4 linked regions of the Saccharomyces cerevisiae S288C genome follow. The gene in region 2 interacts genetically with the main gene of each other region. Each region holds a gene or a part of one and is shown on either strand. Other genes may lie near its edges. The genes, in order: MEF2, MPF1, PAM16 and ROF1.

Region 1 (5,302 bases), on a different chromosome or scaffold from region 2:
AGAAACGGACAGAATGCATATAAAAACTGTAATCAGTAATAAGCCCAAAAAATAGTGATCAGTCCATTTCAAAAATTGGTAAAAATTGTCCCATTACGAGAATTGGGATATTAAACGAGTCCCTTTTTACTGTCCAACAACAGGCACACTTCAAATAAAGACCGTTACTTAATAATAAATTGCACTTAGTAAAGATTGCTTTTCCATCCGTAGTAAAAGAAAACCCTTCTGTAATTTTTGACGAGGTAGAAGAACATGCGTTCAACATCAATAGTTTTTTCCTTTTATTGATATCATTGTAACCAAATGCCAGCAATTCGTTAAATATTTGAAAGTAATTCGAAACGCTTTTATGATCCAGATATTCAAAAATAAAGGAGGTGCGGTCTAATAGTAAATTTTTGTTAAAACCTGTTAAAGAATAGAATTCGTTACTGACAAAACAAATCTCGCCTGATCTTCTCCAGATGCACATCGGTGTGCAGCTTACTAATTTTGCCATGTTCTCCAAATCTAATAAAGCCCTTTGCAAGGTAACTTCCTGTAATAGCAAATCCTCTTCAATCATATTGGATGTTAACGAAATGAAAATTGGAGCATATCTTTCTAGTATAGAGCGTATTATAACTTCTAAATCATATCTCAAATTATGCTTTTGGGTACTGTGTTCGTCTTTTACTGAGGCAGATTTATCAATTTCAGCTCCTTCAAGAAATTTTTTTCTTAAAGTAGTTAGCAGTTTGGTGTATGCGAGCTTGTAATTATGCGGTTTTATTAAACATTTATTGTCATATAGGTCTTGAGGAGTCTTTACTAATTCACGAAACTTTGAAGGTGATATGAAATCGGTATCATGTTTCTCCAGATCTGCATCGGAGTGACTAGAACTGTCACATTCGCTTTCCAGTTTGGCGTTATGTGATGGGTGTGTATTAGCGTTTGCTCCACGATTCAAATGCAGCATGTCTAAAGATATAAAGGGCCTAGACACTACTTCATCATATGTATTGAAAGTAGAAGTGGAATGGCCGATCGAGGAGTCCTTTTGGTCATTCACGCTTTTTGTCGAGTTTAAAAGGTTCGTTAAATGCAATGACGAATTTCCCCGTGTAGATGCGCTAGGATTGGGATATTCTGATTCTTGGAGGGAAAATATCTGGGAGTTATTCGGTAAAAACGGCGTTGAAATATCTACTATATCCTTTAATTTCATGTATTCGTCATTGCACCACATACTATCAAAGTGAATATTAGTTTCGTCATCGACATCATCGTCACTCTTATTACTATCGTCCATTCCAGAGTGCACAGGAACGTTTGAAGTAGCAACCAAACAATTGGTAGCCAGCGGCTGCTGCATTGCTTTATGTTGCTCTAGGAAATGCGACTTTAAATTGAGAGTACTCTTCCGTACGGTGGGTATGATGGGGTCATTCATTAAATGTACTGCTTGTGAAGCTGATATATTATTAGAAGTATTTTCTAAGACGGTCTGGCGGTTATTCGTATTGAAGTTCGTAATACGTGGAATAGATCCAGCGCTTTGAAAGTTATCATTTATATTATACGTATATTGGATATTCGTATTGTGGGCAGGTGTTTTGCCTGGTTTTTCCTGATCTGAAGATAGAAAATCTCGCTGCAGATGTACGCTTGAGGGGGATACCGTCTTCGACGGCACATCATGTATTACCAGCCTCTTCCCCAAATTCAAGTATGGTTGTGTTCCATGCTTCTCAATTCGTTTTCTTGATTTCCTTTTCTTATCTCTGCAAAACTTCCCAATATTTCTTTTTAAACAGTTTTGACATGGCCTCCCTACGTCACACTGTATATGTTTGGTATGACAGAATTCACAAGCTGTCTGGATAGACTTTCTCGTCTGTTTCAACTCTGAAGGTAGTTTTTTGGTCATATGTATATATATTCTTGTATGCTGTATCCAAATATATTATTTCTTTACTCCCTTTATTGCTAAGCTGTAATACGTTAAATCATTCGAAATATGATCTATTCATGCAAAAACTTGATGTGTGTAACAAAGAAAATATCCGGTTCAGAGATCCGAACAAATGATAGTCGTACCCTTCCCCTTAGTGTTAACTCGTTTAAGCAGGCTATGATGATTAGTAAATCGTTTCAGCCTCTTCTCATTTCGACAATTTTTGAGGCCTTCCCTTAGTGAGAGGGGAGATAACCAATCAGCACAGAGAACGACGACGGCGCGGAGGCTGGGCGGTTAAAAGAAGATAATGTGAAATAGATCAACAAGCTTTCTGGTGGCAAAACGGCAGTCAGAGATATACAAAAGGGGCAAGATAAGTGAGGGAGGCTATGTGGAAATGGAATGTGCGCAGATGGGCGGGCGCAAGAGTAAACATTAGCAAGAACCGATTAAGTGTAATTAACGTTGGAAGTAGATACTTATCGACCGCAAGAAGTCCACTGTCTAAGGTTAGAAATATAGGAATTATAGCCCATATCGATGCAGGTAAAACTACCACAACAGAGAGGATGCTTTATTATGCAGGAATCTCAAAGCATATTGGAGACGTCGACACTGGCGATACGATAACTGATTTTTTAGAGCAGGAGAGATCCCGAGGTATCACAATTCAAAGCGCTGCGATTTCATTCCCATGGCGAAATACTTTTGCAATAAATCTTATTGATACGCCGGGACATATAGATTTTACTTTTGAAGTGATTAGGGCTTTGAAAGTTATTGATTCATGCGTGGTCATTTTGGACGCTGTTGCCGGCGTAGAGGCACAGACAGAGAAGGTTTGGAAGCAAAGTAAATCGAAGCCCAAAATCTGCTTTATCAACAAAATGGATCGTATGGGGGCGAGTTTCAACCATACAGTCAATGACTTGATAAATAAATTTATGAGAGGAACAACTACCAAACCGGTGTTGGTAAACATTCCTTACTATCGAAAACAACCGACTAGCAATGATTATGTTTTCCAAGGTGTTATTGACGTCGTAAATGGGAAGCGATTAACCTGGAATCCAGAAAATCCTGATGAAATTATCGTGGATGAGTTGGATGGTACTTCTCTTGAGCAGTGTAATCGTTGTAGGGAATCGATGATAGAGACTTTGACTGAATACGACGAAGATTTAGTCCAGCACTTCTTAGAGGAGGCAGAAGGCGATTACTCCAAGGTTTCCGCACAGTTTTTGAACGCTTCAATAAGAAAACTGACTATGAAGAATATGATTGTACCTGTCTTATGCGGTGCGTCTTTTAAAAATATTGGCGTGCAGCCTCTATTAGATGCTATAGTTAATTATCTCCCTTCGCCCATTGAAGCCGAACTACCAGAACTAAATGATAAAACCGTTCCAATGAAATATGACCCCAAAGTTGGATGTTTAGTAAACAACAACAAAAATCTTTGCATTGCTCTTGCATTCAAAGTGATTACGGATCCAATCAGGGGTAAACAAATATTCATTAGAATTTATTCAGGTACACTAAACAGTGGCAATACCGTTTATAATTCTACTACTGGGGAAAAATTTAAATTGGGTAAATTACTGATACCCCATGCGGGAACATCACAACCTGTAAATATTTTAACTGCGGGCCAAATCGGATTGCTTACTGGCTCTACAGTCGAAAACAACATATCTACTGGAGATACACTAATAACGCATTCGTCGAAGAAGGATGGGTTGAAATCACTTGATAAAAAAAAGGAGTTGACGTTAAAAATCAATTCTATCTTCATTCCCCCACCAGTTTTTGGTGTTTCCATCGAACCAAGGACTTTAAGTAATAAAAAATCGATGGAAGAAGCTTTAAACACTTTAATTACTGAAGATCCCAGTCTTTCAATTTCTCAAAATGATGAGACTGGCCAAACGGTTTTAAACGGTATGGGTGAATTACACCTTGAAATTGCCAAGGATCGATTGGTTAATGACCTAAAAGCAGATGTTGAATTTGGTCAGTTGATGGTGTCCTACAAAGAAACAATTAATTCAGAAACAAATATAGAAACGTATGAGAGTGATGATGGATATAGATTCTCCTTATCTCTGCTACCAAATTCCGATGCCCTTCCTAACTGCCTTGCATATCCATTAGGAGTCAACGAGAATTTTCTGATAATGGAAAAAAATGGTAATTGGGATAAAGAATGGAAATACCAAGTTTCTTTCGAATCAATTCTAAATTCTATTATTGCAAGTTGCATTGTGGGACTTCAAAGAGGCGGAAAAATAGCTAACTTTCCCTTATATGCATGCTCCATCAAAATCAATAGCGATTGGTCAGTCCCACCTGATATTGAAACTCCACAAGAAATCTTAAAAATTACTAGAAACTTAATTTTTAAAGCTCTCAATGACTTAAAACCTGAAAAATACAACCTTCTGGAACCCATCATGAATCTTGATCTAACAATCCCTCAATCTGATGTTGGTACGGTGTTACAAGATCTAACAGGAGCAAGAAAGGCTCAAATTCTGTCTATTGAAGACGAATCAAGCGTGTCAAATTCTGGCGCATCCACTTGTAATTCTCCAGAGAACAGCAATAGGATATATATTCCCTCTGATGCTGTTACAACCCTACACGCAACCAAAGATAAAAAAAACACTCAAGAGACCAGTTCTAATGTAAAAAAAATTATAAAAGCGAAAGTGCCACTAAGGGAAATTACCACCTACACCAATAAGCTAAGGAGCTTATCGCAAGGGAGGGGTGAGTTCAATATTGAATATTCCGATATGGAGAAAGTTACCAACGATCGCCTACAATCAATACTTCACGACTTGTAGCAAAAATGTCCTTAATAAACGCCTTGTTATATCTTTATCAAAATGGTTTTTACAACTATCGAATAGTGTGAACCGATAACTGTGTAGTTGTATATTAATAGAACTTTACTTTTGCGCAGGAACAAACATTTTATTGCGACATAGGCATACCTTGCCCTCAGAGATCTTTATATTCTTGTTCCTCGTGGCCCAATGGTCACGGCGTCTGGCTACGAACCAGGAGATTCCAGGTTCGAGTCCTGGCGGGGAAGAATATTCTTTTTGTCACTAACACAACCATTCTATAAATTGAAGAGAAAAATTAAATGGCCAATATTCTACGTGCTTGTTATTAGAAACTCGCAACAATTGTTCTGCAAGGCCCCTCATTTTTTTTTGCTATATAAAATAATAAATGGTCACGTTGGCATAAGTTTGTGTAGAAATGCTTAAGATCACTTGCAAAAATATAAACTGAATAATAAAAAAAAGAGGTATAATACTGGTCGTTGCTTTTTCAATCACCGTG
Region 2 (9,368 bases):
TGAAAATTTGCAACCAAAGCAAAATAAACCTTGTGCTCTTTTCCTGTTAACAGCATATATAGGGTATATAGAGGCTTTCTTAAAGAAAATTTCTTGCTATCATGCTCTGGAGATGCTGTATATTATAGTGTGCACAGTTAAAGTCATCGATTATGATAATAACATAAGACAAGAGAAGTAATACTAACGTCTCCCCTCATCATTCGGAGTTATCAAAAAAAGAAAATATATCAAATATTAAAAATAAAATTATTAAATGAAGCGTTACATAAAGATTAAACATAAAATCATAGTCTGCTTGAGTATATCATTATACTATATGGTCAGTGTTCTTAGTAGAAGAAGCGTCGGAAGGCGTAGAATTCTTTTCTGCGTCTGTGTTACCCACAATCTTATCATCAATGTTTTCATGAGGAGGTGGCATTTGTGCCGATGTTTTAGATCTGATTGGTTCTGGGATGTAAGCAGTGGATTCCTCGTATGTAAATTCACCAATTTGAGCAGCGTCGGTACCTAATTCTTCCTCATCAGCACTTAATCTTAGTTTTAAAAATGGAATGGCATTCATAGTTAGAAGCAAGATAGATGTGACAGTAACAGTCCAGGCTAGTGCAGCGCATATACCTGCTAATTGATAACCAACTTGTTTATAGTGATGATTGATCCAGCCACCATCAATTGGACTAATGTAAGAGCCTGCAGTGGCATTTACATAGTCTGCAGCAAAGATACCAGTTAATACAGAACCAATACAACCACCCACACCATGGATAGAGTAACAATCTAGACCATCATCGATGCGCAATAGACTCTTTAAGTCAACAGCAAGGTTACATCCTGCACCAGTAACCACACCAATGACAACGGCTGACCAGATTGGCACGAACCCGGCGGCTGGGGTGATACCCACTAGGCCAGCGATGATACCTGAACACAAACCAACTGTAGTCCACTTTCTTCCGCATCTGAAATAATCGATAACCATCCATGTCAAGCCACCGCAAGCAGCAGCTAAGTTTGTGGACATAATAGAGTACCATGCTCGTATAGTTGCATTACCTGCAGAGCCTCCGTTAAAGAACATCCAACCAAACCATAAGAACACTGTGCCTAAAACCACCGAGGTGACGGAATGTGGTTTGTACTTGGGCATCCCTTTACGTGTAACAGGGTCATTACGCTTACCCAGTATCAAAGCGTAAACTAGACCACCATGTCCAGATGTTAAATGGACACATAAACCACCTGCATAGTCCAAGCTACCCAATTTGACCAACCAACCCTCGGCATTCCAGACCCAGCATGCAATAGGACAATAAACAATAGTCATCCATAAAAACAAGAACACCATCATAGGAAACAACCTTGCCCTCTCGCAGGCACCACCTAGCATTAGGGCACCGGTGACTGCGGCAAACATACCTTGGTAAACGGCAAACAGTATATCGGGAAGAGAACTGACACTAGATGGGGCTCCTAAAACGTTACGAAACCCAAAGAATTCCAAGGTACCAATAAAACCGTTACCTCTAGTGTTGTGTGAGAAAGCTAATGAGTATCCCCAGAAAAACCATTGGAAAATACACACGGCGGAAGCCATCATCGAGGCCCAAAGCAAGGATAAAGCATGCTTTTTCCTGGATAAACCAGAATATAATAAACCGATACCTGGGACCATAATCCACACACCTGCTGAAGCCACACCGATCCATCCCATGTTGGCCAAGTCAAATTGTGTATTCAAATCTGTTGTCAACGAGTTACCACCCGTTCCTTCGCCTGTAGGCGTACCTGTAAAATTGTAAGACATTGTTGATATTGTATTGTAATATATTAAGTATGATATATTACAAAACTAAACTTCTTTCAAAGCTCTGTGCAGACTTATTATTTAAGAAGGATATTTAATTTGAAAGGACGTGAAAGCACGAATGATTACTACCCACTGATGTTTGGTTAGCACATGTGTAACTACTGCTTATATATGGTGCAGAAAAGTGGCTCGGAATGAACACCTCTTGTACTGAATACTTCATTGATAAGGCACAGGGTCTTCACGCCGCTTAGTATTCGTCGATGCGTGAGCAATTGAAGCTTTTTACGAGGGAAATAGTCGATTTTACATTTCTTATCTTATCTGGCTTTGACTATTACCAGACACTCTTGATAAGCAGTAACAGCAGTAAGAAGAGACCGAAGGATTCTTCTTTGTTATCGGAAAAAAAAAAAAAAAAAAAAAAAAAAAAAAAAGATGTCTTATCTTATCTTTCTTATCTTAAAGACCTACCATTTGTTCCTTTTCTATTTTGGCAGCCCGGGTATTCGCAAAGGGAAAAAAACCCAAGACAGCATTCCTTGTTCATTATGACTATTACAAAGCCAGGAATGATTTCGATGGCCGACATGAATTACGTCGTTTCCAAGAACAGAAGCTTAAACCGTCCTGCTGAGCGGGGCGGTAATCGGTGACCAGGCAGCCTATAAAATGAAGTTGACAACCGAGTAGGCTATCACGTATGCATGGAACGTATATTTTAGCGTGACCAATGCTGAATGATGATAGTCTATAGCTGAAAATATTATCCAATAATATCAGAAAAAGAAAACTCACCAGCACCAGTGCATCCAATCTGTATTCTGTTAGTATTCCTGATACAGTTATTTCCCTCGTTATGGCTCATTCAGACGCCAAAAAGAGCATAGAGTTAGACAACATTGGAGGGAGTAGCTCAGTTACTGTTGACAGTGGCTTTCACTAATAAAAGCCATTGCAATATGATAATGACTAGCAGAAATTTAAATATTAACAGGATTCTTCTTGGATGAGAAACGTACATAATTTCGCAAAAAAGAAAAAAATATTTACTGCTATAAATCCTGTCATCAACAATAGTTTTCTTCCTTGCCAACGTCCTTTAGCACAAATCTCGTAGGTTCTATGCTTAACAGAGCGTCAACAGAAGCGGGTATCGGCTCGACGTGAATAATGGAGATTGTTACATCCATGTGCCGCTCTACCCATTTCATTTCTACGCCTCAATAAAATGTATGAAAAATGAAAAGATGTAAAACAAAACAACAGTTCCGTAACCGCGGAAAGTTGCGTCTCGTAAAAGGAATGAAAAACTCATATACATTCACCAGATATGTTCTATGAAACTCGAAAGCTTCCATCAATTCACACTAAGCTACACGGCTCCTAATAAGCACTGTAATTCCATCAAATGACAGCGTGACTTCTTGAGTAGTGTAGAACCACTCGTCCCACTAAATCACAGCCCTTAATCCGTGCACAGTGAGTTAAAATATGACTTTATTCATGTAAAACGAAATTTCATCATATACTCGATCTTTGTTCTGCTGTTCTTGAGATGTAAATTACGTGAATTCCTCCGGTTAACACCTTCAGAGTCGCATGGTCAGTCAAAAATTCCACGTCTTATCACCGTGGTCTATTCCAACCTTGTAATATAACCAACACATCGATTTTCGGTACATGGGTGTTTGAGATTTATCCTCATTTGACACATGTACCTGAAACTAATCTTTTCTATCCGGGGCTCCGTGGGAAACGTAACCCGAATTCAAATTCCGCCGAGGCCCCTTTTTTATTTTAGCTCACTCACTGGGTACGGAAGCAGATAGAGCTCTGGATACCCGGAAATCAGCAACACCCAGAGACCTTGGCACGGGAATAAGATGCAGTACCGAATGATCCGGGTCCCACAACTAAGTCAAAAGAAAAAAAGAGAGAATTATTTTGCTGCGGTTTTTCGTTACCTATGCTAACTGTTTCCTCCATACCCCTCCACGCCGTTTTCTCTAATACTGTCCCCATTATCTTTTTGCGAACTTTCTTTCGGCTGCTTCCGGCCAGTTTCTCCCCCATGCAACCCCCTGCGCAAAGGAACAGATCTGCTCTTGATCAAGTAAGAAAATGTGGGGGGCAGGCATCTTGAAAAATTCTCTAAAATTTGCATGTATTCTGTTTTCCGCCAAGGGATAGAGCAAGTGGAAGACGTAGTTGAAGGACTTTTCGTAATATATACAGGCATGCTATTTATTTATTTTGTTGGTGCTTTCTTGGTAAATTGCAAAAACTGTTAGTGAAGTTTCTTTGTAACTTTGGCACTAGTTGTTACACAGGCAGTAACACTAAGCACTATTTTTTTACGTTGTTTTCGCAGACAGCAGAAGAGATAAACGGACCTATTCAGAAAATGTCCTCCAGCATCTTTGAAATGACAATAGACCACGACGGTATGGATAGTACGGGGCTGAAGCTTTCACAGACAGCCTCATCCATATCCATGGGCGACGAGTTTCTTTGTTCCAGTACTACTAGTAATTCTATTCTGGATTCTCCGCTTCCGAAAGTGACTTTTAACCATATCGATAGCATAACAGACATTAACACAAACATCATGAACGAAATAGTGGAGCCACAATCCGGAGTAGATGTTGATGTTGCTGACAAAAACGTGCTTTACTGCATAGATCCGTACCCAGTGGAACCTCCGTGTTATGATTTTGCGAATCCGTCTAAAGTCATTAGGTACCCTATATATGAGCATTGTCGTCCGTGCCTCACTTCTGTGAAACCTCCCAGTTATACACCGTCTGTAGAACACTATACTGTGGTTTCTATGAAGATGGAAAAACTATCGCCCTTTGAAAATGCTTCTTCTCGATTATGGAACAACTTTATTCTTCAAATAAACTCTACGCAGATAAACTTTTATTCTATTGACGATTCATTAACCAGGCATATTAAAAACTATCGTGGTGGTGACATGTTTGACCATTCCCACCATTCCAAAACTGCTAGCGATCGCCATCATTCGGCTCGGTCGTTATTAAATGCGTTCACGACGAAATCCACTTACCAATTCGATAAATATGACAAGGAAAGGATATGCGGGGAAATAGCACGAGACGAGCACAAATTTTTATCAGATGAGCGCCTCTTTAAGAGTTACTCCCTGCAATGTGCCAAAGTTGGTCTGCCTATAGATTATTCCTCTAGAGATTTTGTTTTAAGAATGCGTTGTGAGGGACAACAGTTTCTAGTGCAGTTTTCTCATGTAGACGAATTGATCTATTGGGCTATGTATTTGAACATGGGTATATCCCTGTCCTTGGATCTGGAATTGAGGGAAATGCCCACCTATAGAAGCGTTCCCAGAAGGAGACATCCGAGGGCAAGAAGATTTAAGCAACACAATAAGAACAAAAACAAAAACAAGAGCAGACAAAATAGTGATAGAAATGATTCTCGCTCCCACTCTTTACTTTTAAGAAGATCACACACCTCTTCTGTTGTAACAAAAGTGGCCACCGGCAACGAACGTCCGACAAACAAATCAAGATCAAGAAGTTTAAGCTTGCTACCTCCCTCTGTATCCGATGCGAGTCATGACTCCAATGGGCCCAATGACTCTGGTTCATTGGCAGGGGAGAGTTCTCAAACTGATTTTTGTGGCTTATTTACATCAAAACTAAGAAATTTCTTTAAAACAGATTCCAGTTCGAGAAAAAACTCTAATATGGACATTGGACAAAAAATGAGATCGAAGGAACTGAATAGTGTTCAAGAAGAAATCGATGACAATGGTAGTACTACTAATACCAATACTTCTGTTCTATCTTCCACTTTTTCTCCCACAGCACATTCTGTTTTAACGGCACAAACATCCATCCATGAAAACTTCAGAAGTAGATCGAATTCCAACCCTATAGATCCTTTGCGCTGTGATCGGTCAGTGTTGAAAATTAATAATTTTGAACCGGTATACGAGGGAACAGGAAGGTCAACTATTTCGAATTCTGCTGAGCGTACGAATCGTGAAGAAAAGTTAAACCGTGGCAATGAAGATGTAAATGGAGATGAAGATGATGACGAAGACGAAGACGATGCTAATTACGAAGAGGATGATGAAGATGGATATGTTGAGGATGATGACATCAATAGATTGGTATATTTGGATGAAAGAGAATCTCGCTATGAGAATGCGGACGTTGAGTACGGTACAATATTCAGTACGAAAAGCTTTTCCGTGACTGGTTGTTTAAATCATGATTTTCCAAAGAAATTGTCACTAAAATGTGGAAATAAGAATCAATCCAGTAACGATTCGAAGTGGGCACCGGCGACACAACTAGTTTCAAGGAAAAGATATATCAAAGACTCATTAAGATGCATCAAACCGTTAACGGAAGACCACCCATGGGTAGGTAAGATTATTTTCAAACCGGCACTGCCACCAGCATTCGAAACGAATAATCCACCTATAAGAGTTTATAGTGGTGAAGATAGTACGGACTTGATGCACGTGAAAAACCATTATTTAAAGCCATACATAGTGGGATCCTGCGGGTTTTTGAAAACTGGCTCAAAACTTTTTCACTTTTACGATAGAACTAACGACCTTACGAATTTATGAAATATATGTGTTTTTAATGATTAAATAATAGTCAAAAATATAATTAAAAAAAAAATCGAATGTAATGGGTGGTTCATCTTTCATTTCCTGCGGAGGGAAAGGCGTATCAGAAAAGAAAAACATGAAAAAATCTGTTAAAGTGATAACTACAAATACATATGTATAAAAGTATGAAAAAGTATGGAAAGGGTGAGCTAATGATGAGAGAATTGGAATAAATTAGTTTGCCAGCAACACGTAATAAATGAAAGGGTAGATATTGATTTGACCTCTTGGTTGTCGTCAAAAATTAAGCGATAACACAGGCGGGATCCCAGAAGAGGCCCTTGATTATATAGTTGTCTTTCTTTTCAGAGGATTTATCCTTCTGAGTGGCTTGTGTGGAAGCAGTGGTGATCGGTTGCATTAAGGTTGGTAGTTATTGTTGTATGAAGATGATAGCTCGCTGGTGTCTCTAGTGATGTCAATGAACGGATGAACGACAGAAGAAGTGGATGGAAATAAAATGGTTATTTATCAGATATTTATATACAAAATTACGTGGTAATGCAACAGCTTTTTCCTCTCGCTTTGTTCTTTTTCCTCTGACATGCATGTTTCATTTTCGTTCCTTATGGCATCCATGTCATGTAAATTTCCCGAATAGGTAAATACATGCTTTTTTAACTTAAAAAATTATGGGCGTCCTATGCATGCACTTAACGGAAAAGGAAACTATCAATTAATTATGTAGTAGATGGTGTACCTATTATTGCATTAGTATTTGTTTCAAATGAAAACATGCTGCTTTAACTTTTCTAATTTATACCATAAACGGTATAGTAATGATGAAACTGAAAAATAAAAAAATAAACAGTCTGGTCTTATCGACCATGTTAACATCATCAAAATCCACCAAGTTTTCCGAGAAAATAGATGAGGGCCTGTTATTATTACTAACTGAGTTTGAATTCTTTTTGTAAAATCGTGGCAGTAGTTCTTGAAATGTCATTTTGAAGGACACTGAGTTTCGAAATATCAACATTATGAGTATGAATAAAAGTGTAAGGATAATGATCCTTTTGAGTTCCATGTGATGAGAAGTGGTATGCTTAGTATTGCTCATACTGGACAAATACGAAAGGAATCAGTAAATAATTAAGATTGTAGAGGGAGGGGTGTATGTGTATGCGGATACTTTTTTGATTTGGCAGAAGGAAAATTGGTATTGGCAGCTGTACAGTGACTCCCCTTATACAAATGATCTCAGTTTGTTTCGTTTTTCCTCATTCTCTGGCTTTAGACTTCAAATCGCGGTGTAAAAAAAATAGGACAAAACTATGTAGCGCATACTATGTCAGTCAGGTATTGAGAATATGTAAAGAAATGCCATACCGTGATTTGATTTTGTTTTCAACTGTAAGGAAGGGAGTTTATATGAGATTATATTATTAAACCTATTTTTGCATATATAGTACATCAGAACCTTCGGCGGAACTTAAAGAGACCAAAATAGTACCTCTTATGACGGTCAAACCTAGCTTTCTTGCGTTTTTAGAAATCAGTTCAGTGTTGTTTTCATCATCAGGATTAGACATATATTCTACTGTATCATCAAGTACCAAGTTCATCAGTTGATCATAGCCTTTTAGGACACCTATAACTAATTTACCACCCATTAATTTGACGCGAATTTTAGAATCTTTATACTTCGCTAAATCCAGAATAGCTTCTCTTTTAGGGCCTTCGAATTTTTTCCTTTGCTGTTGTGGTTTGTTCTCTGATTTCTTAGTTCAAAAAGGAAACATAGTTATTATAATGTTAGTATAAATAAGTCAAAAGGAAGGTTATTGCCACGGAAGAAAATAAGAAGTGAAACATACGGAGTGTTGCTGATGCATGTTTTTTTGGTTAATGTTCTGTGTAGTAAACAAAGTGCTGCTCTCAAATAACTTTCTTTTTTACTGTAGTAGTATACACGTACATGCGTATTCTTAATTGTCGTTTCCCAGTTGTCTGTTTTCAGCTACAGCTTTTTTCGCCTTTGTTCGAAAGAACAGTACTTTTTTCCGGCTCGCAGGGAAACGGCAGTTGAAGAAGACAAGCGACAAGAACATAGAGCAACGAATTCAAATAAAGAGATAGAAAAAAAAATTACATGGCAAAACTATGGTTAGAGTTGTCATAGAGAGTGAATTGGTCCGTACAGAAAAGGAATTACCAAATTCGCTTAAATTAAGGCAGTTCAAGGACCGATTGTACCATGTTACCGGAGTGGAACCAGAGGATATGGAAATAGTTGTGAAAAGACAGTACGACAACAAGGAGATATATAGTACTAAAAAGGGGGGTGCCTATTCAAATGAGGATGAAGATGCCAACTTCCTAAAAGGAGAGGAGGAGCTTATTGTGGTTGTTACAGACTCTAATGCCCAATCAATCTCTAACCAGCTGGCCACGCAAGCGGAAGGAATCCCCTCAATGGAAGTAATTAGCGAGGAGGATTATTTGCGAAGGGATCAATCCGTATTACGATGGAAGATGGCTCACGGCTATGGTAGGTTTAATGCTGCACAGCAGAGCCAGCGCGCTGCGCTGGCAAAGCAGGACGAAGCATATGCCCGAGAGCAATTAACGGCGGCTATCGGCCGCCACTGTCGTGTCACAGTAGACGGGAGCGCTCCACGTGAGGCCATTTTACGGTACGTAGGACCACTACCGTTGGACGTGATGGGCACATGGTGCGGTGTGGAATTCCCGGAAGCCGCAGGCAAAAACGATGGGCGCATAAATGGGGTAACACTGTTTGGGCCTGTGGCGCCGGGTCACGGATCGTTTGTGCGTCCGCGGGCTGTGGAAATTCTATCAAAAGACGAAGAATCCGCCGAGGTGGAAGACGTCCATGATGACGTGGAGAGCGATGATGAAATTTGAATTTGTGCAGAA
Region 3 (7,568 bases), on a different chromosome or scaffold from region 2:
AGAAGTTACAAGATCTATCTTTCAAAATAGTTTACAGTTACCTTTACTTTACCCTTTCCCTTTTCAGTTTGTTACCCCTTCTCCTAAAAGTTTTATTTTTTGGGTAAAGATATAAAGGACACTCCAGTCGGTTAAGGTGGCTGTCTAGAGAATATAAACCTGTATTTATTTACCAGGCTTATCAGAAAAGTTAATCGTGTTCTTAAATATTCATTGAAAAGGAACGTGATACAGACGTAATAAAAGAAGAGTACTAAGCTTAACTTAATAGGTCATTTATGGTTGAAAAACGTAGTAGACAGAGTTCCAGTAGTGGCTCAGAGTTCAGTGTTCCACCTGATGTCGATAACCCGCCACTTTCTATCCCTTTGAAGACTTTATCAGACAGATATCAGCTGATCGAAAAACTAGGTGCAGGATCATTTGGTTGTGTAACTTTAGCCAAAGCGCAATTTCCTTTATCGAACATATTGGGTAAACAACATGATATAAGGGGTACTTTAATGGATCAGCCTAAAAATGGTCACCAAAACTATATAACAAAGACACAAGGTGTAGTGGCTATAAAGACAATGATGACAAAACTGCATACACTCCAGGATTATACGAGGGTCAGAGAAATTAAGTTCATACTGGCAATCCCAGCGAATGACCATCTGATACAAATTTTTGAGGTCTTTATTGACTCTGAAAATTACCAATTACATATCGTAATGGAATGTATGGAGCAAAACCTATATCAAATGATGAAACATAGAAGGCGCCGAGTTTTTTCGATTCCTTCTTTGAAATCTATTCTATCGCAGATACTGGCTGGGTTAAAACACATCCACGAACATAATTTCTTCCACAGAGATTTAAAACCTGAAAATATTCTTATCACACCAAGTACCCAGTATTTTGAAAAGGAGTACATGAACCAGATTGGATATCAAGATAACTATGTCATTAAACTTGCAGATTTTGGTTTGGCACGCCATGTTGAAAATAAAAACCCGTATACGGCCTACGTTTCCACAAGATGGTATAGATCGCCTGAAATATTATTAAGAAGTGGTTACTATTCCAAACCTTTGGATATTTGGGCATTCGGGTGCGTGGCGGTGGAAGTTACTGTATTCAGAGCTCTCTTCCCCGGTGCTAACGAAATCGATCAGATATGGAAAATTTTAGAAGTTCTTGGTACACCTATCAAACGTTCTGATTTTGTTAATACAAACCACATCACAGCTCCACCACCTGGTGGATTTTGGGATGATGCCAGTAATTTGGTCCATAAATTAAACTTGAAATTGCCTTATGTAGAAGGTTCATCGTTGGATCATCTACTTTCTAGCTCCCAACTATCCGATTTATCTGAGGTTGTCAAAAAGTGTTTAAGATGGGATCCTAATGAAAGGGCAACAGCCCAAGAGCTTTGTGAAATGCCATTTTTTGAAAACACCGTGGCATCCCAAGTAGACGCAAGAGGCAATGTGACTAATACAGAACAAGCATTGATTTTTGCAGGTATAAATCCAGTAGCGACCAACACAAAGCCCATATATTTTAACTCTTCAACAAAATTGCCCGCAGAAACAGAGTCTAATGATATTGATATCAGCAACAACGATCACGATTCTCATGCTATGTGCTCACCAACATTAAATCAAGAAAAACTAACTTTGGTAGAATTTTTAAACGAATTCGTTGAAGAAGATAATGATGATCACTCAATACCTGATGTTGGAACAGATTCTACCATTTCAGATTCTATTGATGAGACTGAATTATCAAAAGAAATTCGTAATAATTTGGCCCTTTGTCAACTACCAGATGAAGAAGTCTTAGATCATTCATTATCGAATATTAGGCAGTTGACAAATGATATTGAAATTATAAATAAAGATGAAGCAGACAACATGGAACAGCTATTTTTTGACCTGGAAATTCCTGAAAAGGATGAGTTTCAGAGAAAACAACCATTTAATGAACATGCAGATATTGATGAAGACATCGTTCTACCATATGTGAACAACTCAAATTACACACATACAGATAGGTCACATCATAGAGGTGATAATGTTTTGGGTGATGCCTCTTTAGGCGATTCGTTTAATTCAATGCCAGATTTTACTCCAAGAAATTTCTTGATACCTACATTAAAAAAATCACGGGAAAAGTTCGAGCCTCATCTATCCAATTCAAACCAACATTTTGGAAATGTAACCTTCTAATAATTTGTCATTTGACTGACGAATCGTTAGGCACAGTTATATAGTTATATACACATAGACATACATATGTTCGCATATATATTATATTACTATGCATTCACCTAAATAGCTACTGCTCTATTAATACAGTGCTTTTTCGATGGCTTTAATTTAACTTATTAGACATTACTTTGCGTTTATTCCCCTCCAATATATTTTTATGTTTGTTTTTCTTGAACATTTTATGATTTCTTGCTCTTGGCGGCTACTGATTTTGTTAAGCAACTCATCAAGAGGTCAAAAAAAGTAGAACGAGATCTTTGTGTTCGGTTACCCGGCTCAGATCCTAACTTGGTATGTTTATTCGTATAAGTTACTGTTGTCCACAGGCAATACTCTGCAGAAAATTAAAACGGCATTAATGCTAGGACAACCAGAACTGTTACTACTGTATGTGCGATAGTTGATAACTGCAACATTATGCCCGGTATATTCTCAAAAAACCCTATTACTGCATACGAAGAAATCGCAAGAGAAATCTTTCGGTTTGGAAAAGCTCACTGTGAGGTTCCTTGGAGCCAATAGTAATACAGCACAATCCAAGGAAAAATCTGGCCTATATGCAAGGAAGGAGAGATAGTCAAAAGCATTCTTTCCCCTAGAAGTTGGTGCATATATGGCATCGTTAAAACATATTACCCCCAAAATTTCTTCTCTAAACGATGTGCTTGGCCTTTGTTTTGGTTTTTGATGTCGGTCGTTTGAGGCCCCTTGCGGAAAATCGAGATCGCCGAATGGCACGCGAGGGAAGGGAAATAAGGTTTAAAGGCACTGAAACAATAGGCAAGAAGTAGGCGAGAGCCGACATACGAGACTAATGTGTCCGCGTTTCTAAGGCCACTTTTCAATGAAACGGATATTGATATGCTAGTAAAAGGACGAGCTCAAGAGCGAAAATATAAGTAAAGAATTCGAGTGCACTTGTCTCCATGCAGCAAGATTTCATATGAGTCTTTTTTATCTTTTTACTTTTTACATTACACGATATGCACTTTATGAAAATTTAACGAGGTTGGAAGCCGGATAATCAACCAAAATCAGGCACGAAGGCACACTCGTATATGCATGTTGTTGAAACTCTGTTACGCTGAACTAACAATCACACATGTAGAGGTCACCGGGAAAAGTTGCGACCCCATGGAAGGTCGATCTCTTCGTTTGGCTTTGCTTGGCTGGCGGCATTGCGCTTCTTCGCTTATACCCGTCTCTTGACGCTCGAGCTCGTTCATTGAGATACCTTTATTCTTGCACATTTTCTGGCTTTTTTCGCTACTCGGGTACATGTAATCATGCACACAGAAGGTGCTGTAGGGTGAAAGTTCCTTTGTGCTGTCGTTTGTTTTTAATGCCAAACTTTCTGGTGATCAATAACCACCTCTTTTTCCTTCAGGAAACCTTATTATTGTTCTTGGATAGTACTAGGAAGTATATAAGGAACCTCGATTTTGGTATTGCACGGCTATACACATCTAAGAAACTTTGTATAAAAGGTGGCTACCCTATTCATAGCTTGATATCAATAGGCCATCTCATCACTTTTTATTGAAAAGGAAAGGAGGGAAATATATCTGATTCAAATTACTTGTTTGCTTCTCTTTAAGACAAAAGCATAGATAATTTCAGCGTGGAACGCCGGAATAAGATTGGTACCCTCGTCAGAAAGTTACAAATACCGCTTCATCTTCAAAATGACTTCACCGGAATCACTATCTTCTCGTCATATCAGGCAAGGAAGGACATACACAACCACAGACAAGGTCATATCGCGGTCGTCGTCGTACTCATCTAATAGTTCAATGTCTAAAGATTACGGCGATCACACACCCTTGTCCGTCAGCAGTGCAGCTTCAGAGACATTACCCTCACCTCAGTATATGCCGATAAGGACATTCAATACAATGCCTACAGCTGGCCCAACGCCTTTACATTTATTTCAAAATGACAGGGGCATTTTCAACCATCATTCTTCATCAGGCTCATCAAAAACGGCATCAACAAATAAAAGAGGAATAGCAGCAGCAGTAGCATTGGCAACTGCTGCCACCATACCATTTCCACTGAAAAAACAGAATCAAGATGATAATTCCAAGGTCTCGGTAACACACAATGAATCATCGAAAGAAAATAAAATTACACCCTCCATGAGAGCAGAAGATAACAAACCTAAAAATGGTTGCATCTGCGGTTCAAGTGACTCCAAGGATGAGTTGTTTATACAGTGTAACAAATGTAAAACGTGGCAGCACAAGTTATGTTATGCTTTCAAAAAATCAGATCCAATAAAAAGAGATTTTGTTTGCAAAAGATGTGACAGTGATACGAAAGTGCAGGTTAATCAAGTAAAACCAATGATATTCCCTAGAAAAATGGGAGATGAGCGATTATTTCAATTTTCATCCATAGTGACAACTTCAGCATCGAACACAAATCAGCATCAACAGTCTGTGAATAACATAGAGGAACAGCCCAAGAAACGTCAACTTCATTATACCGCCCCAACAACTGAAAATAGCAATAGTATACGGAAAAAATTGAGGCAAGAAAAACTGGTAGTATCAAGCCACTTTCTGAAGCCACTACTGAATGAGGTAAGTTCTTCCAATGACACGGAATTCAAAGCAATAACAATATCAGAGTATAAGGACAAATATGTTAAGATGTTTATTGATAACCATTATGATGACGATTGGGTTGTTTGTTCTAACTGGGAAAGCTCAAGGTCAGCTGACATCGAGGTAAGAAAATCATCAAATGAAAGAGATTTTGGAGTCTTCGCTGCAGATTCTTGTGTTAAAGGTGAGCTAATTCAAGAATATTTGGGCAAAATTGATTTTCAAAAAAATTATCAGACAGATCCAAATAATGACTATCGTTTGATGGGAACGACAAAACCTAAAGTACTTTTTCATCCACATTGGCCTTTATATATAGACTCTCGAGAAACAGGCGGATTAACAAGATACATAAGACGGAGTTGTGAGCCCAATGTGGAACTAGTAACGGTAAGACCGCTTGACGAAAAACCAAGAGGAGATAATGATTGTAGAGTTAAATTTGTTTTAAGGGCTATAAGAGATATTCGTAAGGGAGAAGAGATAAGCGTAGAATGGCAATGGGATTTGAGAAATCCTATTTGGGAGATAATAAATGCATCTAAAGATTTGGATTCCCTACCGGATCCCGACAAGTTCTGGTTGATGGGGTCAATAAAGACTATTTTAACAAATTGTGATTGTGCATGTGGGTACTTGGGCCATAATTGTCCAATAACTAAAATCAAAAACTTTTCTGAAGAATTCATGAGGAATACGAAGGAATCCCTATCTAATAAATCTTACTTTAATACAATAATGCACAACTGTAAGCCATAAACGAAATTTTAAAATTAATAGTATTCATTTTAATCTTTTTTGAAAGCTTAATTTTATCATCATAATTTTTCTTCCAAAACTTCAATCTTGGTATTTTTTTTCGCATTGGTCTTCATTTTTTTTCTTTTGTTTTTAGCTTTAATGTTGAAAGCGTGAATATCAAAACACTTTTATAATAAATCACCACTTTGTAACTATAGAGAACAATTCATGCTTTATTTATAGATGCCACGATTAAGCATCAATCATTAGTTGAGAGGATCCTTAACGTTAAAATCCACCGCACTTTTCCTTTCAAAAAGCTGCATTGTTTCCATAATTCATTTCATGGCAGGTTAATGACTTATTTGATATGAAGAGTGAGGTTCTTATCAAATGAAATTCCTACATATGAATTTTTTAAAAGAGAGTTTTTCGTTTTACGATATTTATTTACTTCATCATCGTTTATCATTTTTCACGTAGCAAATTTTGAAGCTTCAACTTATAACTCATTTGCATCCGATTCACATATTTCAGCTGACTATAAATTTGGCAACAGCTTCGTGACTTGAGCATAAGAAAAACATAGACTTGTTGGATATAAAATATGGCTCACAGGGCTTTCATACAGGTTATAATCACAGGAACTCAAGTTTTTGGAAAAGCATTCGCCGAGGCGTATAGACAAGCGGCTTCACAATCAGTGAAACAAGGTGCTACAAATGCATCTAGAAGGGGAACAGGAAAAGGCGAATATGGTGGTATTACGTTGGATGAGAGTTGTAAAATTTTAAATATTGAAGAATCCAAGGGCGATTTAAACATGGACAAGATTAATAACAGGTTTAACTATCTATTTGAGGTTAACGATAAAGAAAAAGGTGGAAGCTTCTACTTACAGAGCAAAGTTTATCGAGCAGCAGAAAGGTTAAAATGGGAACTGGCTCAGAGAGAAAAAAATGCGAAGGCGAAAGCAGGGGACGCTTCAACAGCGAAACCTCCTCCGAATTCAACAAATTCATCTGGTGCAGATAATAGTGCAAGCAGCAATCAGTAGTCAAGGAAGCCTCCATCATTACGTCACAAGTGTTATCGAAAGCATGCAGCAGTGCATATATTTTCCTAGTTGGTTGCTTCCTGTACGTTAGGAATCTTCAACCACCATCCTTGTATTTAGTTAATATTAGTATATGTACCAAAGTAAATATACTCAGATGCCATCTCGATATACGCACCGTACACGAAAATGAAATTAAAAAAAAAATGTTGGAGCACAAGCAAGGCAGCATCAGAACGTACCGTCAGTTGGTACCAAGACAAGTCCATCCCCGTAGGCACTACAAATTATGGGAATGAGAAAGTATACAAAATATAAACTGTCTTATCATGAAGAAGAGTCGCTTAGGAATTTAAACTTTCAAATCGCATTACGCAATTCTCTAAAAACGCGAACCTTTCCCTGATATGTAATCAGGGAATTTCCTCAGAATAATATTCGATCTAAGAAACCGGAAACGAAATGAAAATTGTTACTACTTTGTTTAGGAGTAGTCAAAGTTCATTCAGCTATGGGTTATGATGAAATGATTTAAATTATTCTCGCTCCAGTATTAACTTATTACGTAATATGAGCTTAAAAGAGCAAGCTCCTCATCACTCACACTCCATAACATGAAGAACGAAAATAACCTAATCTTTAGGTTTCTATGGTATAATGAAATTAATATTATCTAAAGATAGTATTAACCACTACTGATGTTAGCCTTTTGAAAAAAAATCAAAAGAAAAATTTGAATTTTAAAGAAGAAGTAACAAAGGGAAGAAGTTTTTGCCAATCGGACAACACTAGCTCTATTTATACTTTTCTGTTGCTCCAAAAACAGGAAAGAACAAATTTTTCAATTTAGTGTGACCCGGCTAATAATAAAGAGGGAAGTAATAGGTAGGGTTTTACTGGCAA
Region 4 (8,562 bases), on a different chromosome or scaffold from region 2:
CCATATTAGGAACTTTACCATGGCTTAAACTAATATCGAGAATTGTGTTGCTAATGTTTTGGAAAACATCCGCGCATCTCATAGCAAAAATCCATCTTTCACCGAAATGTCTTAGTATTTCCACACACTGTTGAATTTCGATTTTACTTTCAATGAGGTCGATGCTCCACTGGCAAAGACAGTATAAGATAGTGTTACAAATGGTTAATGTTCTGAAAAGGGTTATCCAGTTCAAGGGTAATAACCGCTTCTTGTACAGTGTATAAGTATGTTTCCAGGCTTGCAAGCAAAACTCTCCTAGAGTGGATAGTGAGTCAATGGGCGGTTTTGGCATCAATGCAGATGGTCTGTATAGTAAGATTTGCAACTGGGAGTATCTCATTGCTAGCCAAATCTCAGAACTATGGAAGGATATTACATTTGTAGTAGAATTGTTCTCCCTCTCCACCTGATCCATTTGAGATTTTTTCAGTTTCCTTCTTTCTGATTCTCGAGAATAAATTTCGTCTAGCTCCTTGCGTAATCCACTTATGATTTCCTGCTTTTGTTCGATGGTTAACTTTTGTCGCCCTGCACTTACAGAGTGGACTTGTTTATAAATGCGACCGCCCATTTTCCTTAATGATATCATCAACTTGGTCATCTCTAAATCGTCTCTTTCATCCACATACAACGCCCTCGGTAGTGGCACAGTGATGTCTTCGTCGTCGATCCCGGATATACGGCCCAACGAGGTGCATACTAGCCTTTCAAAGCAGTAAGCACTCCAAAACACTCTATATCTTGCCTCTGCTTCTAAAGCAGACATGCTCTTGAGTTTTTTGGCAGTTAACTCTCTATTTAAACCTAATCCTATGGTCAATCGCATGATGATACCACTAATTGTCCATGACGAGGAGCCCTTTGGCTCAAAAAACGAATAAATACCCAACAACAATAGGCATCGTACAGTTTCGATATCTTGTAAAATTATAACACTACGAAATTTTTTCATGGCCAAAAAAGCCAAATGTTCACTCAGACACTCTTCGTCCTGAGAAACCATACCAGCACGCTGTAAAGTTGTACAACCAATAGCCATGATCATGTATACTTTGAAAACAAAGCTGTCAGGGTAGTTTTTGTTGTCATATAACCTTTCGAAATCAGTAATTGTCGCGGCGTCATTTAGGAATGCTATTTTATCAATCATGGGAAATAGACGGTGATTGTGTTTGAAGTATGCGGCAATGAACCTGTCCAGTAAGGATCTATCAATTGACTTGAACGAGCCATCCTCTCTGACCCACGATGTTGTTCTACCACCTTTAAAGCAACAGGACATAGTTTCAAATTCGATCGAGGATGCATCAACCGGCACAGAATCGAATTTCCCATTGGGGGCTGAATTGTTTGCATATGGGGTAAGACTCAATTGCGGTGTGTTGGTACTGCCATTGTTATTATCGTGGTTAACATTACTGCCGTTATCCCCGTTGCTAGTATTGCGATTGTTGTTTTGTAGCGGTACGGCTTGGGCGTTCGCAGGCACATGACTGCTAATTAGTGGTGAAGGCGTGTTATATCCTCCGAATGATGAAGTTGTCGAACTTTGCTGCACGGAAGCTGGCAATGATCGGGAAGGAATCATGGAATTTTCATTAGAGGATAAGTGCGAAGAAGGATTAGAATTATCATTCAGCGATGTTAGCACCGAAATTAGCGATGAGACACCTTCGCTAGAATTTGGACTTGCCCCCATGACAAGATTTATTGGATCTGACGGTTTTAGCTGTTTCATCTTATGTGCATCATCGTTTTCGTAAGGCGAAAACCCGGGAGTTATAGCGCCATTTGCGGATAGCGGACTAGAAGAGTTTGGCATGCTCTTAGTGCTCAATGGGCTTTTTCCTACCTTCTTGTTCCTTTTCACTGGAACATATTCCCCTCGTAGCATAGCATCCGCTAACTCCTTCTTGGTACGTCTTGGGGCTCTACCTGGATATGAACAGTGTGCCCCATTTTTATCGCAGTTTGCACATGTCGGTATTTGTTTACCACACTTCTTCTTTAATTTTCTGCATCGTGCGCACGAATACAATTCAGTAGTACGTTGTGATCTCCCGCCTTGATGTGCAAAATTGGGACCATCCATGTCCTTCTTTTACACCTTTGTATTAATTTTTTAGCCCTGTACGCTCGGATATTATACCTCTTGTTACGTAGAGGAAATAACCGAACCTTGCCAAGAACTTCATTGTCGGTGTTTTATTTCGGAAGCTTATTTTTCTTTTAGTATTTCCGCTCGCCCTATTTTTCCCGTGGTATCGGCCTTGTCGTTATATTCCCTGCGGGTGATGGCGCCATGAATTAAATGCGACGCTATATAATAAGCTAGTAAAACAAGATATATTATGTGAAATTAAGTAGACAATCTGTCGGAGAATCTTCTTGGCATATATAGTATAATCGAGTGTAGTTTTCTTCCCGTTTTCCGTTGAGATTGAAGCCTTTTTTTTGTTTCAATTCCTGATGTTCATCAAAATAGAAGGTTGCAAGGAACGCATTAAATAATTCGTGAAATTTACAACTTTTGCATCAACAATGGAGTAAGCCACTCTTCATTCTTGAGTGTATTACCAGCATTAGTAGTGTTCTAAATGATTCAACAGTGCTAAGCGCTTCTTGTTTTTTTTTTGCACTTTTGCTTTTATTCGGGTTGAAATCGTCGTACACATTACCACAAGTACCATTGTTTCAATGATGAATCCGTTTATATATGCGTAGCGAGTAGATATAGAATCTGTTAACATAACTTCATGCCTTCTTGTCTTAGAACATTCCTATACGCGAGAACCGCGCCGCGAAGAAGAAGCCACAGAAACATAAACGTATCCTCAAGAAGTCTTCGAGCTTTAAGTCGTTTCTCTTAGTCTCGCTTTCACAGTGTTACTGCTATCATTTCTTCACTCCTGGAGGCAAACGGATATTCTATAGAAGAAATTGGATGAGGACAAAATGTGTTGTTGCAACTTTAACTACGTGAGAAAGGTGAAAGTAAGGTATTAGAAGAGAGGACACAAGAGTTATAATATCAGTAACTTTCGAAGTGGGTATCTCACATGGTTTTGATTGGGGTTCTCGATTGTTTTGCCCCCCTGGTTTATTCATTTTTCATAACAATGCCAAGAACCGTTTTTAGGTTTGATTTCTCAGTTCCCTTGCGTTTCTTTCTCTGGAAATTTCATGATAGAATTACAAATTTGGATATGCTTGTTAGTATATGATACAATGATGGAGGTGAAAATCAGATGGTCCTATAAATAGTTTTTCGAAATCCATCGATGGTAGGGAACAACAAGAACAAGCACCCTCCTGTTTTTTTAAAACCCTTTCTGAAAAACACACAATTGGCTGCCCTTTCTATGTAGTGAAGAATCCTTTTGGAATATGAGCGGTACTTTAGGTGAACCTTTCAGCAATTGAAAGGATGCTGATCTTCTACTTTGAGTATTGGTGGGATTTAGGATTGCTTGATGTGTTGTTTTTACTAAATGTTGGTGGATGTTGCATGCTGTCTGGCGCATGAATCATTTGGTATTGTGTTTGAGCCGGGGGATTCATACGAGGAGCTGGCAAAATATAAATGCCATCTAGGTTCTTGTTGGTTGTGGAGGTGGTTATGTTTACATTTGGAGGATTAATAGAATCTGTGACTGGTTTTGGTTGTCGGTAATCATGCACAAGTATATGGTGTACTGGGGGCATCATTGTTGGGGCGATAGGCGCCTTAGAGTGATTGCATTCAGGACCCGACCTCGAAGAGTATGGATCGATATTTTGGTATGGTATTGGGCTCAATGTATTGGAGGAGTATATCACTGAAGGCGACACGCCACGCCGTTCATAAGGTGCTGCAGTAGGTTGTTGCGGGAGAGTATTGTATGTATTGCAGAAAATCATAGGTTGTGAGACCGTACGTCTCAATCCAGGCTGATAGTTAGGATTGTAAACACCAATTGGTTGTGGCTGGTGCTGCATATACGGGAGAGGTAATTTATTCTGTTCATCTATGGGTAAGAGATATTGTTGCTGTTGTCGGTGCTGCTGTTGGTGCATTTCTCGAGGAGCGTTATTGAAGGTGGTTAAAGGTAACTGAACTGCGGTCCTAACTGGAATATTTCCAGGATGGTTGTTATAATTGCTCAAGAGATCACAATAGCTCGGAGAAGATGATAAAGACCTGCGCGTTTTATAATTATGAGCTTTGGTTCTGCCTCTCTCATTATTTTTAGACGGGTTAGATCTGCCATTTCCTACAGCAACTTTTTGTAAAGCATCTAATAGTTTCTGTGAAGGTCGAAATTTATGGAAGAAAGGATTTTCTGAAGGTCTCCTCAAACTTCCTTGATGAATATCCTTTTCCGTATAGTACGCAATAAGATGAAATGTTTCCAGCTTAGTGCTGTCGGTGGGATCCATATTGAATTTTAGAGAAAATGTTTTTTTCAGTAGTCCAGTATAAAAATACTTCCTATGAGCCCTCTCGAAGATATTATACTCAGGTACATTATGCAGCGGTAGATCGTGCGTGGAACCCAGCCTATTATACTCTCTATATACGAGAAATTTGCCTGAAATTCTTGAAGGAGACCAAGAAAAACCATCTGTCCATCTTTTGATGCCGGATTTCTCTTCGTTGAAAACAAAAATGTTTCCGGGGTTGACTAATTCAACCTTTTCTGCATCATATGGCCTCCGTTCGATGCATCTCAAATTTCCATTGAATACGCCCTGGAAAACAAGGGCTAGATCTTGCTCGTCGTCGATGTACCCATAACAGGTAGGGCTGATATCCATCATTCTTACGCTTACTCGTCGATCTCCTTTTCCTATCTATTGTTTGATTAATTATCTTAATTCGTGGTTCCCTTTTTTCTCGCTTTATTTGTTTGTTTTGTTGAAGAAGGGCTTACAAGAATGTACGTATTAAATAATAATTCATACAAATAAACAGGGAATGATACATAGTAGTTCTCCCGCAGCAGCTACGTATGAATTACCCGCCTACCCGGTACTATAAAGAAAGAATAAGTGGGCGTCGATTATGAAGATTTACTAACTGCAATTATCATTTTTTTGATTTTCCTCAGTCCCTTAGGTGCGTTTTTGTGTTAATGCCTATTTTTTTTTTCTAGGCTTTCTTCTTCACTTCCTCTTTCCTCTTGAATTTTGAGGAATATACGACCGAGAAAAAGACAGACTACTTAAAAAGTTGCCAGAGTGATTAAAGTTCCGGGAACAAGGCTAAAATACGTTTACAACATATTCTTCCTTTTTTTTCCACATAAAAAGGTTAATAGTCATAGTCATATGTTAGCGTGATTTCAACTTAAAATTAGAGATTATTAGATAATTTTTTTTTAAATGACGGCCAAGAAAGTGAAAGTCTAAAAGGAACGTTTATCGCTTAATTTCTCTCTGCCTCAGATTCATACGTTGTTAAGATCTTTAAAAGGATGGCCTTTGCAGGATACTGAGGTTTATGCTGGCGCGCCTGTGCGGATTTTCCAGATTCAAAAAGAAAGTTTTCTTTTTTTTTTACATGGGAACTGCGTAGCCGCGAAGCACTGCAGGCCTTTCAGAGCAATTTTTGGCGCTGCCTTTTAAAAACTTACATTAAGGTTCGCTATTGCCGAAACGGAAGAGGCGGAAATTTAAGTATTCGTTAATTTTACGGTGGCGGTACGGTATATTCTGCGTAAGCAATCTGCGGACGGCCGGATTATTAATCAATGTTTGAAAAAAAAAGATAGCAGAAGTGAAGATTTCTTATTTTAACAGCGATAAGGTATATACATGAGGGAAACGAAATATTAAGCGGCACAATATGTGTTTTTTCTATACAAGTACATTCCTTTTTACGTTAAGTATGTGGCGCCGGAAGGAAGTATGGTGCTTTTTTTTTCTTTAGGGCTTGTGCGTGTTCCGCTAGAAGCACATTTCTTTCTTCTTTGTCTGTATAACTACTGTTTCTTAGATCGATCAGTCTATCATCCCATACAACTGGTTCGAAATGACCGACCCTACGTGGAATGCTATTCAGTAGTTCCTGTAGTTCTGCATAGTATTCCAGGTCCTTTCCCTTTGGGAAGTTGTGCGTTCCGCAGGCATTAGAGTCGAAAGTTGTAGTTATCGGTAAGCTTTTACAGAATACTTCGACCATAATAGCCGCCTGTAGTTCCGACAACGGGAACGGGATGACCAACTGCGGGGTCAAGATAAAGGACAGCGTAGGATCTTTTACATAGATCATGTGCTCCCACAAATTGTGCAGATTGACAGACGAGTGCTTGTCGCCAGTAACACCCTCACCTAGCACTTCCAGTCTAACGGAGGGCTCTATAAATGGAAAGCTGTAATAATAGCCTGTGGCGAAAATAATGTAGTCTATATTCTGAAGTACTCTTCCATCAGATAAAGTAACTGAACGATTTTTCCAATCGGCACTGTCTATTGTTTGGACAGTCTCGATTAACTTGGCCTTCAGTTGATTGCTCGCAGGCTCTTTTATACTATTATATACTTTCTTTGCAACGGTAGTTAGTTGGTTGGCAATATCTTGGCCGGAACTGCCGTTTCCCACCACAATAACGACTTTTTCACGGGCAAACTCGCAGTTTTTGAAATCCTTAGAATGAAAGGCGCCCTTATTGTCGAACCATAGATCGAGACCTGCGATATTAGTTGGTAGTTTAGGGACACTGTAGTGACCAGACGCAACAATAACGAAGTCAAAATCCGATTTAGTAGTCCTTAGTTCGTCTTTAGATGTTATCTCCCATTGAGAGTTCTTCTTCTTTAAGTAGGTAACTTCGGTGCTGAAATGGATGCTGATAGCATCTTTGTTGGCAATGAACGTTTTGTAATAGGCTTTCAAGTATTCCCAAATGTTTCTTCGAGACGGATATAAAGGGACGTTTTCCTCGAAGGGAAAGCCGCTAAACTGCATTAACTTCTTTGATATATTGGTTTCCAAATGGTCATACATGACCCTCCCATCACTTTTTTGTTCTGGATAATGCCAGACACCGCCAATATCGTAATCCTTTACAAATATTTCTATTTCAAAATTTGGAAGACTTTGCGAGAAAACTCTTGCAGCTGCCAACCCTCCTGGCCCCCCACCTATGATTGCCAATCTTTTTTTGTCATTCACTGTCATGCCTAGTTACTTCTTGTTATTTCTCGCTTCCTGCTTGAATTTTCTGTATTATTGTATTTTCGACTTGTATAAAAACAGTGGCCCATTTAAATACAGTCCCAAATAACGACTGCGTTTTTGCAGTGGCATTTATCCTTGATATGAGGCTACAGGATTATCTTGCATAATGGCTTTTCTCGGCAAAAAGATGTCTGGCGCTTCCTATGTAAAGGTAATATCATGTGATTAAGAGTGAAAAGAGGAATTTAAAAGGTAGAAAAGGGTTCATGGAATCTTTCATAAAGCAGAACATTAATACTTGCCGCGTTGAAATGAGGTGCGATTTCGTGTTGTGGACGGGACATTAAATTCATCACTTATATAATTAAATATAACGTTATAGTAGATCGTCTCAAAACGGTATAACAACCCGCGCCCACCCTTAAATAGTATTACTTTTGTTCAAGATTAGCTCGAATGGTCGCTGGCAAACTGTTGAAGAACTAGATCGTTTCATGATTAACATCTTGGCGACGCAGAAGTTAATGATATAGAAATAGTGGACTATTTTGATTACTGAGGCTGTAGCCAATAAACGATAACATAAAGGGGGGGATATATAAACTTGTGTCAAAGACTAGTAACGTACGAGTGCTAAATATTATACATGTAATGTTAACGTAGTTTATCATTATACTCAGTGGGAACAAATAAAGGGAAGGGTATGAATGAGGAAGAAATACGAAAAATCCCGGATAAAAACAAAATAGATACAAATAGTATCAAATTTGTAATATTTGTCACCATCTTAATGGCAGGCGAGGGAGCTGTCATCTATCTCAGGACTATACGAAGTACACCAGCTGTAATTACCCCATATTGCCCCACACACGACAGCTAACATTAACCAACCATTATAAGTCATGAATACAAGCATGAGCATGAATGAGAATCCCACTTGCAAACCATATAGAATACTATTGGACACTTTGTCGGCTTGGTTGATCTTGGTCAGAGATCTATTTGGTAACAATACTCTCTGGGATAATTGTCTCTTATGGACACAGTACTTTAAGTACTCATAGAGGTAGGCTAGACCAAAAATTGCTAAACAACTTAAAATCAGTCCAGGCAGGGTCTTGATATGCCACCATTCAAAGACGACACACGTATTCTTGTATGACCACGAAAATAGCATATTCATCGAACAGGTATCATCTCCATCTCCCATATGCATATCACTGTGGTCGTGGCCCGCATTTCCTTCCATCTTGTGATTCATGCTATCCATCTTTTTTGAGTATCCAATTAACGAAGACGTTACCAGCTGATTGAAGGTTCTCAAAGTGACTGTACTCCATGTTTTCTTATCATCCATG

What was found.
Region 1: mutations in MPF1 (region 2) and MEF2 together harm fitness more than expected from each alone (negative genetic interaction), as found in Saccharomyces cerevisiae (one large-scale study listed by BioGRID).
Region 3: mutations in MPF1 (region 2) and PAM16 together harm fitness less than expected from each alone (positive genetic interaction), as found in Saccharomyces cerevisiae (one large-scale study listed by BioGRID).
Region 4: mutations in MPF1 (region 2) and ROF1 together harm fitness more than expected from each alone (negative genetic interaction), as found in Saccharomyces cerevisiae (one large-scale study listed by BioGRID).

What each region holds. Positions count from the first base shown.
Region 1 is NC_001142.9:228,967-234,268, forward strand, and holds MEF2 (mitochondrial elongation factor MEF2), read left to right. Parts: upstream 1-2,334; coding exon 2,335-4,794; downstream 4,795-5,302. Other genes in the region: GSM1 (Gsm1p), read right to left, coding at 59-1,915. UniProt on the Saccharomyces cerevisiae protein: Mitochondrial GTPase that mediates the disassembly of ribosomes from messenger RNA at the termination of mitochondrial protein biosynthesis. Not involved in the GTP-dependent ribosomal translocation step during translation elongation.
Region 2 is NC_001146.8:349,895-359,262, reverse strand, and holds MPF1 (Mpf1p), read left to right. Parts: upstream 1-4,220; coding exon 4,221-6,443; downstream 6,444-9,368. Other genes in the region: ammonium permease MEP2, read right to left, coding at 311-1,810; YNL143C (uncharacterized protein), read left to right, coding at 2,077-2,469; MFA2 (mating pheromone a), read right to left, coding at 6,733-6,849; YNL146W (uncharacterized protein), read right to left, coding at 7,246-7,548; YNL146C-A (uncharacterized protein), read left to right, coding at 7,683-7,877; Sm-like protein LSM7, read right to left, coding at 7,880-8,209, 8,306-8,323; ALF1 (Alf1p), read left to right, coding at 8,592-9,356.
Region 3 is NC_001142.9:221,112-228,679, forward strand, and holds PAM16 (import motor complex subunit PAM16), read left to right. Parts: upstream 1-6,215; coding exon 6,216-6,665; downstream 6,666-7,568. Other genes in the region: protein kinase IME2, read left to right, coding at 279-2,216; SET4 (Set4p), read left to right, coding at 3,944-5,626. UniProt on the Saccharomyces cerevisiae protein: Essential component of the PAM complex, a complex required for the translocation of transit peptide-containing proteins from the inner membrane into the mitochondrial matrix in an ATP-dependent manner.
Region 4 is NC_001140.6:452,871-461,432, reverse strand, and holds ROF1 (Rof1p), read right to left. Parts: upstream 4,843-8,562; coding exon 3,481-4,842; downstream 1-3,480. Other genes in the region: STB5 (Stb5p), read right to left, coding at 1-2,134; FMO1 (N,N-dimethylaniline monooxygenase), read right to left, coding at 5,906-7,204; YHR175W-A (uncharacterized protein), read right to left, coding at 7,726-7,875; CTR2 (low-affinity Cu transporter), read right to left, coding at 7,992-8,561.